Linked DNA regions of Arabidopsis thaliana. The protein of the gene in region 1 interacts with the protein of each later gene in a biochemical or structural test. Each region holds a gene or a part of one and is shown on either strand. Other genes may lie near its edges.

Region 1 (5,138 bases):
AGGGTTGTTAAGGGACTTCTTGATTTGAAGGAGGGCATTATTGTCATTTGGGTTGCAACTGTAGGAAGATGGGAGAGATAAAGATGATGGAGAAGAAGATAGAGAGATGAAGAAGGAGATTCATTGTGATCATGGGTGTGGTTACTTTGAGCAGTTAAACAACTTGTGATCTATATAACAGAGACTTCAATGGAACACAGCTGTGTAATGTTACTGATTTTGTACAGTTTGGGTTCTACACTACTCCTAAAAGTTCTAACGTACAATAACCTTTTTATAACATAAATTCAATTCATCTCATAACTCATAAAGCATGGTGCATATATATATTTTTATTTAGTTGTTTTAACTATTTGATACGATATTCAATAATTTAACCATACGTTCGTCACTGCACCACTCAATTCTAACACTTCTGTCTTTGTTCTGTTCTTAGTTTATCGGTTGCTCAAATATAAAATAGCTAGAAGTGACTTAAAAAAATCGAGTAATGGAATCGCATATATTTTGTTATGTAAAGTATGGTTTTGAAAATTACTAACTCATAGGATTATGCCATGTGTCAAGTCTATCGATCAGATGTTGACACGTGTAAGAACATAATTAATTTTTTTCTTCTTAAAGAAATAGAAATACTAAAAAAAAAATCAATTAAATTTTTTCTTCTTAAAGAAATAGAAAACAAAAAAATAAATCATTATTAACATATACTAATTCATATATATATATCTAAAAAATATTACATTTTATTTTTCTTAACCAAAAGGAAAATTAACCAAAAATATTTATATATGTTATTGGTCAAATTTTTAATATGTATGGTATTAACAAAATTTTTATTATTATTAATTATGTTTTGTTAATTGTTAATAATTTTTAATATTAACTAAGATATAGATTTGATCTCATATATATTATTTTGACATGAAATCATTATCAAGTAAGATGAAGTGTATATAATTAAAATCGAGTTTTTTATGAAATAGATAGTTAAATTGTATTACAAAATTGAATATGTAAGATAAAAATTTGTTCTTTTCTTCTAAATACTAAATTATAATAAAGAAAAAGTGTGTAAGTTACTATTTAGACTTCAAATATCATCAATAAGATTGAATGGGTATTATAAAATAAAATGCATAAGACTACTATTTTACTATTCAAAATTATATATCAAGAACAATGTATAGATTATTATTTTACTATTCAAAATTTAAATATTATCGATAAAAAATTACAGTTACATTTTACACCCATCTATTTAGGCGGACTTATCTAGTGTTATAAAGATTAGACTTGTGAATATACCTCACAACATTCTTACGTAACCAATTCTTGCCATTAAATTAAATTCATAACAAAGAAACAATAAACTTGGTTTGGCGGTGATAATGAACACATCATCATAACATATTCAACATTATTTTTATTCTTCCGCCAAGATTAAACCAAATTAACAAGCCTTAAGGGGAGTTCCACAAAGACAGATGTTGTGAGCGAAGGCAGATGGTTCAAAGGTCTGAAGTAGACCGCCACTTGGGATTTTTCCGCAGAGATGGTTGTCGCTCACGTTGAAATGCTCGAGGTGTAGTTTAGTCAGTGCTGGTGGTATCTTCCCGTAGATATGGTTCTGGCTCAGATCCAACGAAACTATGCTTCTAGCGAACTTAACCTTGACGAGATCGAAATTAAACATGTTTCTCGACAAATCCACTCGTACTGTTGTTTTGTTCCGTCCGAAGAACATAAAGGCATCTCCTTCGAAACCATTTCCCGACAAATCCACTGCGTTGAAGTCGTATTTAGACAACGATTCCGGTATTTTTCCTGCAATGCAAAAATTTCATTAAACCGGGATTAGAAATTTATCAACAAAATCTTATTTGGTGCGAGATCTTAACTATAAAAGTTTCTTTGTGTTTTGTTGGGGACCAATTACCAAATATAAGTAAGTAACTAGTTTAGTTAAGGGTAATCCCACTATAAAATCTTCATTGGTTAGTGGTTACATTAACACTTTAAGGCACGAGGCTAGTTCTACGATTCCGACATAAATAAACATTTGACTTTGAACACAAGCCAAGCCAAAAACTAATAAATAAACATTTGACCAAAAGCATAGTATTAACTATTAAAGAAATGGAAAATGATGGCTAATTACCTGACAGCTTATTGTTAGACAAGTAGAGATTAGGGACGTTGCCAACAAAAGAACCGAAAGAGTTTGGTATAGAACCGGTTAGCTTATTATCGTTGATTTGAATGGCTTCAAGCTTCGGCATCTGAGATAGCGAACCGGGAATTGGACCGGTAAATTGGTTAAAAGAAAGGTCCAAGAACGTGAGGCTCTTGAGCTCGCTGATGTAATCAGGAATCGGACCGGAGAGACTAGTGTGCTTCAAGTAGAGAGTGTTGAGGTTCTTGAGTTTGGTGATGGTGCGTGGGATGTTTCCGGTGAGGTGTGGCAGGTAGCTGAAATCTAGTGTACGGAGGTCAACGAGGTCGCCGATCTGGTACGAGATCTGACCGGAGACTTCGCCGGAGGTAACGCTGAGACCGGTAACGCGACGGTTAGTGCATTCGACGCCGGTCCAGCCGGTACAACAGTCGGTTCGGGGGTTCCAGGAGGATAGAAGGGGAGGATTGCCAAGTGCTTTCTTGATTTGAAGGAGGGCATTCTTGTCATTTTCGGTGCAGCTGTAAGAAGATGGGAGAGTGATGAAGAGGATGGAGAAGAAGATAGAGAGATGAACAAAGAGCTTCATCGTGATTATGTGTGGATGCTTTGAGGAATGAGCAAGTTCTTGTATATAAGCAGAGACTTCAATGGAACACAGCTGTGTAATGTTACTGATTTTGTACAGTTAGGGTTCTACACTACTCCCAACGTACAATATTCTTTTCACAACATAAATTTAATTCACAAGCATGGTACATATATCTCTACTATTCAATAATTTGACCGTATGATAGTCACTGGCACACTGCACCAAATAGTTAGGTATACAAATGTTTTAGCATGTGTTTTTCATTGTGTATAAGATATATACGCTAGTTACCGCATCATTCATAGTGAGTACAATCATTTCATTTCATATAAAACACATGCTAGAAAAGAGCGCAAAGAAAAACAATGTTAAAGATCCAATGTATATGACATATTAATGGAATGTAATGAGCGAAAACCCCTAAAATGGTTGCTATGTGTTGGGACAAAAACAACACAAGACAAATAAATATCAGAGCCCACCACTTTTGAAAGCGCAAAGAATCTTATTCCTAACATACACAAATGATACAACAAGAGGAGATTAAGACATTTACATAATGACCCCTCCCTTTGTGTTAAAAAGGGGCTGTGTTACGCATGTTATACCTCACCATGACTCCTTCCAGTCTAATCTATCGAGACCGTCCACGATTGCTCTGCGAAACTCATCATTGTGAAGTATAAAGGAAGACACGTGTCCACCTGTGACCCATCTCACTTCTGAACCAGGCCACGCCTTTTGAAGCTCCAACACTGAGTGTTTTGGTATGTATCCATCATCCTACACAAATCATATAATCAGCAACCAGTAATGTGTCTCCAAACATATTGTTTGATGTTTCGAGTTTCGGAATAACTTTTCTACTTACAGTTGCAGCAACAAAGATAACAGCATCAGGGTTTTTGGGAATAGGGAAGCGAGTGACGTCTGTGAGGGAGAGAACATTCCGCATCCGCTCTCTCACTTCATCAAGAGTCATTGTGATCTTCTGTGCTGCAAGTTCCTCCCTCAGTGCCTCCCAAGCAGTCCCATACTTTAATATTCCTTCGCAGAATGCAACAACAGCAGAGTGCGGAGATAGGAATGGAAGTGTTGCAACTGGTGTTGGATGAAGCGATCCAACCATCGAAGCATGTACTCCTCCTAATATATTCATCCACCTTTATCAGTTTGAAGTTTCAAGTGAAAGGAAAAGGATAAGCAACTCAATCAATGCATGAAGCTGTAGCCGCATAGATCCCTAGATGGAACACTTGAACCTAAATCTATGGGTGCATATGCATTTGAGAAGCTTATTGAGGAGTTGGATTGTTATCTTATGAAGCACGATAACTAGGAGCGGCTACTTTACTTTACTATAGATATATGTAGAAAGCCAATTACCATCCCCACAACTACTGCAGGAAACCTATACCAGACCATCCAACTAGCGACATCCACAACACAGTTTAAACTTTGGATAACCTTGGTGAAAACGCAGATCTAACACTTATTCATCCAATTTAACTCAATGCATTAGCTCACAAGTTGTTCATAGAAGAAGATAAATGTAACTTACCCATACTTAGCCCACAAACACCCATCTTTCCAAAGCCTTCCTCAGTGTCTAGCCAGTGAATAAGACTGCGGGACTCTTCGATTGTTGCCCTCCCTAGCAAAAGTAGATCACTAACACAGAGGAGTCTCGCACCGCATTGAAGAAAGGGACGCCTTTGGCCATAGAAAGGGCTGCAGTGGCATTATCTATGTTTGATCAAAAACATGGCAAAAAGCTTCAAAAGCGGTCAAAGCAAAATGATTTGCTCTTAAGCTTTCATCAAGGGGGAGAAACAAGTCTCTTTTATTACCTTTCCAACACCATTGTTGCAATGTTTTGTTTCACCAACGGTCCACCCAAACGCAATCTTCGGTCATATGTATGATCACCTGTGCCTACAACAATGCCACACATCATCAGAAAGATATGATATTTACAAATCAAGAGCAATTGTAAAAAGACAATAACCTGGAAGGGCTATGAACAAATTAAGATCACATAGACAAGCCCTTCTAACAACTAGGCTTCAAAACACCAAATTTAAGGTCTCCTTGTGGTCACTTTAGTGTATATACCTATAATCTATTCTAAACAGAGAAGAATCAATAATGGTACCTGCAAGATGAACCACACAAGCCATCTTTTGGGGAGGAACGTTTTTGGGGACAAGCCAAGCAACCCTGGCTGTGCGAGACTCCGGAGGCAAAGCAGCGGTAAGCTCATCGGCACAAGGAGTCTGGAAAACACCTTCTCTCAAAGTAGCGGTCTTTGTCTCCCAAACAGTTCTCCAGACTGGACGAACCAGAGGCGGTGGCCAATTCTGACCTTGA
Region 2 (7,801 bases), on another chromosome or scaffold:
TGAGCTTGATTATGACCATGATTTATTGAGAACAGGTATGGAGCCATCCGATAATGTTTGCTCTTGGTTTACGAAATGAAGCTAGGCAGAGATAAGCTATTGTATGTGCATTTAAAGAAAATATGGTTAATACTCTTGTATGTGTTTTCACCGAGCAAGACGCGAGATATTGAGACCGGGTGGTGAATGTATTCCTGGTAGGCAGCTACAAAATGAACGAATGTTTCGACATTTTGCAACTGTACCACATGGGGAGAAGGAGGAGGAGGATGGAACTCAGCACATGAATATATATCATTATCATATTGAGACTTTTCTATAATAAAATCATTAATAGAGCAGGAATTGGTAATTAAATACAACAATTGAACTAATAGTACACTTATACACATAGATGTTTTGAAGCAAATTAAGCACATTAATGACATGTCTTTAAGATATTAATTTCACATCAACATAAGCATAAAATTCACTGATACAACATTCATGGGATAAATATATATATAACATGCATTAGCTTTATATTGCTTGCTCAACCCAATTCTGGTTTTTATTCACTCCCGGCCATTTCCTTCAGCCTATATTACCTACAAAACAGCATAAAAGACCAAATCCATGCTGTCAAGTTTTACAAAATGGACCGATTAATAATATAAGACTAGAATGATTGATCGGAGCAAGATTTTGTGTCCTTACACTAACTGGAGAGCGGTTTGGTCTTGGCGACCCGCGGATGAGTAATGGTGATTGTTAGGTTGCAATGCCGCGACTTGGAAATAATTCCGTGAATCAAACGGTTGAGATTGCGTTTGAGGTGGTGGCATAAGCTGCTCGTAGTTAGATCCTCCTGGCATTAGACTTATACTCGGATTGTTCCTCTCATTTTCAGCTATCTACATTACACAAATATATGTCATAAACTATTTATCTACAAGTACTTTCACCATTTTAATCGTTTTCATATAATATTTATTGAAACAATAGGGAAAATTATAGAAATTGATATATAATGTGTACTTTTACCTTTGCACGAAGAATCTGGTTATCGTTATGCAAATCAACTTCCTGCTTAATCGGTGCAATGCAAATGAGCAAAATTATTATAAGAACATATTAAGAATAGAAATTAAGTTAAGATTTATTTCTTACTCTTTTCTGCATGTAGTCGATTTCAGAAAATAAGAGCTCATTCTGTAAAATTAAACAAAAATTAGCAACAAGGCATATAGATTTAATTTGATATTATATTGAAGCATTTATAAAAAAAATAGAATTACCTTCTTGGATCGGATTCGGGTAATACTTCTCTCTAATCTGCCTTCCAAGTTCCTGAGCTCTTTGGGAGACATTGACCCTATCGTCTCACCCATCAATTGCCTAATTGATTTATCAACATATGTTAATATATCAAATAGTTAATAACAACCAAGTAATCAAATATTTCAAGTCAGTTAGATAATTAACCTGTTGGAGTTTTGTATGCTGATTATTTGTTGACGCAATTTGGCTGATTCTTGTTGATAATACTACAACAACAACAAAAAAAAAAAGAGTAAAAGAATGAACAATGTTGTCATGTCATCATATATTAATTAAAATCATTCGTGTAATATTAAGTTACCACTTACCTGTGCATTAATTTCTGCCACCGATCCGGTGTTAGAATTGTCCGATATTGCCTTCTTGTACCTCTCAATAGTCCCTTTTACACTGCAATAATTTTTTTAAAGGAATTAATAAGTTAATTAGACCTATTAACTACCTATTTTCTAAACTTAATCTACGCTTAAATCTGCATTTTGATAAGTAATAAAAAATAAAATTGATAGGGTCAAATCGACCACTTGCACAGTTAAGTGATTCTAATACGAAACCTTAAAAGCAAACATCGGTTCTTTTGAGTCAGAAGAAATGCAACTTAATGTGACACATGATGTGAAGAAAAAACAAAAGTAATATAAGAAAAGGGAACAATTAAATAGTTAATAAAATATTTCCTTAAAGTTGTAACAAATAAAGAATCATTTTATGAAACAATATGAACCCTAAATAAATTAAAATTCCTCTGAAACCTTAAATTTATCGAGCTAGTGATTGGCTGCCAACTGCCATGCTGGCAAAATTAGAGTGACATGATTGGTCTGAACATGTCTAGGGTTTCAGACATGTGACATGTGTCAACAACCCATTAACACATTGGGTATAAATCCAATAGACATTTGATAGTATTAAAATTGTAACCATTGGATTAAATTTAAACGTGATGGATGTAACTAAATGACTTGTCCGAGTAACATCACAACGTTCCATACTTTCCTTATTTGGAATATAATTAAATTTACCATTTATTCTTTTTTCTTGAGTTTCCTGTATATGTACTTGTACATAGATATATATACACAAATACGTATTACAATGACATATTATAGACTTTGATGTCTGAACTCTCAACCTTCTCGATGGAGAGATCATGACCGTAGATTTTTTTGGATCGTAGAAGGCAGACCAAACTCTTAAACTATTGGATCCGTACTAAAAATCTCACTTTCCTCTCAGTACCCATAATGAGAGAGAAAATGATAAAAATCCCTAACATTATTCTCTCTCTAGAAAAAAAAAAGATACTTCAAAAAGAAAGAGAAATTGCATAAATCTATCTACACCAAAGATGTTGAAGCAATTCCAATGCTATACTTCTATGCCAAATCTATTTATTCAGTGATCATTAATCTTTTTACTTCCAAGAAATATGAACAATTTAGTATCCTTATAATTTTTGTCTCTATATATGTAATATGAACATTGGGTATTGACCAAATGAGAAATCTAATATTAAATGGTCAAAAGTAGTAATATGATGACATTTTTGAATTTATAAATAGGTTACAAATTAATTCATTATGACATAAAACCTTCTTGTCAGAAGTCAAGAACTGAAACTAACAAAACTTTATAATAAATTAGTAAAAATACAAGTGAAAAATAAAAAGAAATAATATCTGAGTGATGACGTGATCAAAGATTCTTTAACAAAGACAACAAATCTTACAGACCCAAAACCTAATCTTGCGCTCAATTCCAACCTCTGAAAAAACCTCAAAAATCTTATAAAAGAAAATAAATAAAGAAACGAAACTCTGATTTCGTAGAGTACCCATCGGATATATAAAAAGAAATTAGTAGGTAAATGAAGACTAATTTTGATTGACTGATTTAATTTGAAGTCGTTGTTAGCTTTTCTTGTTTTGGACATGAGAATTATATATTTCAGGACATGAGAGTTGACAACTGTAAACGATTAAGAAAATTGATCTTTTAATTTTCAAACACCATTTAATCTTGACATGTTTTATGTTTTGGTGGAGAAGAAAGTAATCACGTGGGACTCTCTACTAATAAGTATTTGGAAATTGCGTGTCGAATTAGAGATTACTAGTTTGAGTAATGTAGTTCGAAATGAGATTAGTTATTTTTAATTTTAAAAAGAGTAATTTTAAGGAATAACAAAAAAGAGTCCCCATAAGCTAATTTGTCTTAATTACCTCCTTGTTTCATTGACTATTTGAAATCTTGAAAATTCAGTTGAAATTTCAAATCTATGTTTCTTTTGACCACTTCTAAACTAATCTTAGCTCATATATAATTTTCCAAAACTACAAAAATAACACTAACATTTAACATTCTCAAGAGAAAACAAAAACAAAAACTTAGATAACCATCTAAATTGTCCTACATGTACGTATAAGTTCCATTATTTTCTATCACTCATATAAGTTAAAATTTCATGAAAACTCAAAAATCTAGCTAGTTTCACCTTATTCACTCTCACTTACCATCACATGTGTTTGTATCAAATATATGATATGATATAATTCATGAGAGAGAAAGAGAGCTAGAGATAAGAAAGGAAAGTAAGAGAAAGAAGAGAAGAAAAAGAGAGACACAGACATTAACAACAATGGAGGATGGATGATCACAAAACAGAAGATATGACCTCATAGTCCTTCCTTACTCTCTCCCCAATTTGTTTCCCAAAACTTACTTTTATAGTCATAAAAATCAAGTTTTTACCTATTACAACACCAGATCTATAAATATATCTAAATCTTCAAGTACTTGTTAGTAAGGAAAATAGAAAGATATAAGATTTTATTATTATTATAATAACAGAAATGAGTGAAGAAAGAACACCCAACAAAGTGAATCTTAGTTCTACAAAACTGAATCTAAAACTCCACATTAGAAAAAACCCTGATGGTTTCTTATTTCTTTTCATTTATTATCTAACTCTCACTCAGATCTCCTTTAACTTTGTACCATTTCCCTCACTTCATATATCTATATATAACAAATTCTCTCTTTTTATTTAAGTCTTAAGGGAAAATTAATATACACATGAAGAACAAGAAATTAGATCTACAAAATTGTTACAAAAACCCCCGAAGTAAATAAAATAAACATATCAAACAAATATTCCCACTAATGTTAGTGTGTTTATATATATATGTGTGTGGAATATGAAGGAAAAAAGTGAAAAATAATCCTACCCATAAGAGCATTCAAGAAGAAGAGAATCAAATCTAGCTTAGAAGATCGAAAACCCTCGTAAAAGATTTATGCTTTAACATAAACATAAAACCCTAAATCGGACTTTAAAAATAATTTAATTATTAATAAAGTAAGAACAGAGCACGAGAAGAAGAAGAAACCTGTTGTTAGAGTACTCATAGAGACGACCACGGCTAGAGAAGACGATGAGTGCGACTTCAGCATCACAAAGAACAGAGAGCTCGTAAGCTTTCTTGAGCAAACCATTTCTACGTTTGCAAAAAGTGACTTGACGATTCGTTGTGTTCTCGATCCGTTTGATTTCGATCTTTCCTCTCCCAGATTTCCTCAAGGGAGAGGAATCTCCTCCTAGCTCCGATTGGTACGCCGTGATTGCTGCTCCAAAGCCAAAAACGTTTAGGGCAAAATTTGATTAGTACAGAATTACAAGAATCCAACAAAAAACCAATCAAGATTTTCTTGAAAAGACTCAAGATTCTTCATGTTTTCTATTCTTTTGAATTATGGTTGAGATTAAAGTTAAACTATAAAGATTTAATTTAATTCTGTTGCCGACACACATCTTATAGAAGGAATTATAAAGTTGAAGAACTTTATTGATCTTACATTCATATTCTCCTAACAAGAGTTAATCAAGAAAGGATGGTAATACACAAGTTATAAACTAAGAACAAAATTGTTTTGTAACCATAGGGATAATTTAAATCTAGAGTGTGAAAAAGAAAAGTTTTAAAGAGTTAAAGAAGATCAGAGAATTTGTGAATCTTGTTTCTCTCTAAATAACATAAAAAGAATCAAATCAAAACGGGAAAAAAGGAAACTAAAGAAGAACAAAAATTTGGTTTAAGGACCAAAAGAAGTGAAGCAAAGTAATATTATGAAGAAGATAATGTTTGAAAGGATTGGGGAACAACAAAATACTAGCCTGACCTGTTGGGGGGAGAAGAACAAAGGGGAAAGTTTTATTTTTCTTGGGAAAATGATTTTCTGGAAAGTATGAGATTTGGAGAAGTTGCAGAAAATGGAAGGTAAGGTTGTGCTGGTGAAGAGATGGGTATATACATTTATAAAGGAATATTTTTTTTCTTTTTAATTTTCTCTACTATTTATCACCATTTTTCCCCACTTTTTACATCCATATAGTGTCTTGTCAATTTGTGTTTGATTACTGGTTTTCTTACTCACTAAAGCATAGTTTTATGAATGGAATCTATGAGATAAGTATGTGTTTCTTCTTTATTAGATAGAGTTAATATACATGTATTTTCTGAAAAGTAATTCTATTTAAACTGGTTTTGGAACATACACATGTTAGATAATTATGTGGTGAAAGTTGATTTTGAGAATTGACAAAAGTTTTGTACTTGGTTGATAGTTATATATGAGGGAAGTATAATTAATTAAACTGGTGTTTCTTTTCAGTACATTTAGACATATGATAGGTTAAAATAAAAGATTGACATAGAGCAATCTAAAGGTTCACAAAGCATGAGTACATCAGCTTTTGAAATCACATGAAAAATATTATTAATAAATAGTGTTAATTACCATAAATAACACCCACCATACATCCGGACTTTTCATAAATATAATACTTATTAAGGACACCCCCAAATTGAGAAATTGTAGAAATGAATAAATAGTTTTTGGAAATGAAGAAAAAAAGAGAGAGTTATTGGTGGGTAGTTCTTGTGTGGTCTTTCACAAAGGTCTAAATGAAAAGAGGGTTCAAGTTGGGCAATCACTCATGAGATGCAGACTCTACTTACCATTACTTGTCTTTGCTTTTCATGTGAAAGTTTTTGAGGCACTAAAATCTTTGGGTAAATCTGATCAGTACATTTTTTTGTTACAACAAATATCGATCTTCTTCTTTGTTTCTAGTTTTTACTAAATCTTGATCTTTTTAAAGAGGAAAAAATTTCAGCTCTATTCCCTTTTCTTTTGTGAATTGTTTTAAAGATTTAAGTGACATTCTGCAGGAAAATTTGTTTCACTAATTAAGGAAGTTATTTATAAACAAATATATGGTGTTGTATATTTGATACCATTTTACATTATTTTGCCAGAATAAATATAAGAAAATGGATTCTGGATACTGAAAATATTAAAGAATAGAATTTCAAAAAATTTATGATAATATTGTAATTACATGATGAGGTGTAATTTATTCCGTATATAGTAACTGATGGTGTACAAATATAAAGTAACATATAAAAGAAAACTGTGTAATTAGATATATGGCTAAACTGATTATTAGTAGTAAGAACCAATATACTTATCTATTTAATGGTGTGGCAAATATAGAATCGAATGATGTAAAAAGAAGGAGAAAATTACTCAGATAGTGAAGAAAATTAGCATACTATTTATGTTAGTGAGATTTGAAGTTGATGATGTTTACTTGTTGTGATATTGACATATAAAAAAAATGATAAATTAATAAGATAAATAGGGTTTTAGGGTTTATAGGGGAAATAGGGAGATGAAGCGTACTTTTAAGGGGCTGGACAAGACGTAGGGCTTAATTTGGAAAGTTATTTAAGTGTAATGCTTCTGACTCAATTAGAAGGTAACCAGACTTTTCTCTCTTCTCCAACTACTTTAATCTCTCTCTCTTTTTTTACATTTTCTTTTTGACTTTTGTCGCCCTCTTCAAGATCACAGCTCTCCATATTGTTTGTGAAACTACTATATGAATATACATAGGTGACTACTTAATAAATTTTGTTGAAAAGTATCTAACTGTTAAAATAGTTCTCCTAATTGGCTAAATGGATTAAAATTTAACCCAAAATATGGATTAATAATCTTTCTTGTTTTATTTGATAAAGATCTTTGTAGCTCGTATGTGGAAGAAAAAAATTGGGTAGATATTTTCTAACATTTTGTTAAATAAGTTATTTTTAAAAAATGTTGAATAATTGAGGAGCACAATGTATAAATGGAGTAAGGTTATGCCAAAAGAAGAGGGAGAGTAGCATGTGATGTGTAGTCTTTGATCTCCATCTTTATGAACCCATTTAAGGTAATTTGATAGAGATAAGAGAAACCTATATGTATATACAGTCCATATTCATATTTATTTCCCTATAACTATATATACATCCACTTGCAATGTGCTTTCTTTTCTTTTGTACTTTTTCTTTCTTTCTTGCAATTAGAAAAAATAGTATAGCTTAACTGCATGTAATTTACCTTCTCTAGTAGTATATTTAATTAGCAAGAGTTA

The links. The genes of interacting proteins can lie anywhere in the genome.
Region 2: the proteins of FLR1 (region 1) and AG form a complex in vitro, tested with the Arabidopsis thaliana proteins (one study listed by BioGRID).

Annotation. Positions count from the first base shown.
Region 1 is NC_003074.8:3,873,311-3,878,448, forward strand, and holds FLR1 (Leucine-rich repeat (LRR) family protein), read right to left. Parts: upstream 2,993-5,138; 5' UTR 2,766-2,992; coding exon 2,162-2,765; intron 1,828-2,161; coding exon 1,454-1,827; 3' UTR 1,177-1,453; downstream 1-1,176. Other genes in the region: AT3G12150 (alpha/beta hydrolase family protein), read right to left, coding at 3,378-3,551, 3,640-3,914, 4,330-4,499, 4,619-4,703, 4,924-5,138. UniProt on the Arabidopsis thaliana protein: Promotes flowering transition in long days (LD).
Region 2 is NC_003075.7:10,381,055-10,388,855, reverse strand, and holds AG (K-box region and MADS-box transcription factor family protein), read right to left. Parts: upstream 6,001-7,801; 5' UTR 5,176-6,000; intron 4,945-5,175; 5' UTR 4,940-4,944; coding exon of another isoform or gene 4,816-4,939; coding exon 4,710-4,815; intron 1,875-4,709; coding exon 1,785-1,874; intron 1,711-1,784; coding exon of another isoform or gene 1,703-1,710; coding exon 1,629-1,702; intron 1,527-1,628; coding exon 1,465-1,526; intron 1,378-1,464; coding exon 1,278-1,377; intron 1,192-1,277; coding exon 1,150-1,191; intron 1,066-1,149; coding exon 1,024-1,065; coding exon of another isoform or gene 991-1,023; exon of another isoform or gene 894-990; coding exon 697-893; intron 588-696; coding exon 584-587; 3' UTR 317-583; downstream 1-316. UniProt on the Arabidopsis thaliana protein: Probable transcription factor involved in the control of organ identity during the early development of flowers. Is required for normal development of stamens and carpels in the wild-type flower.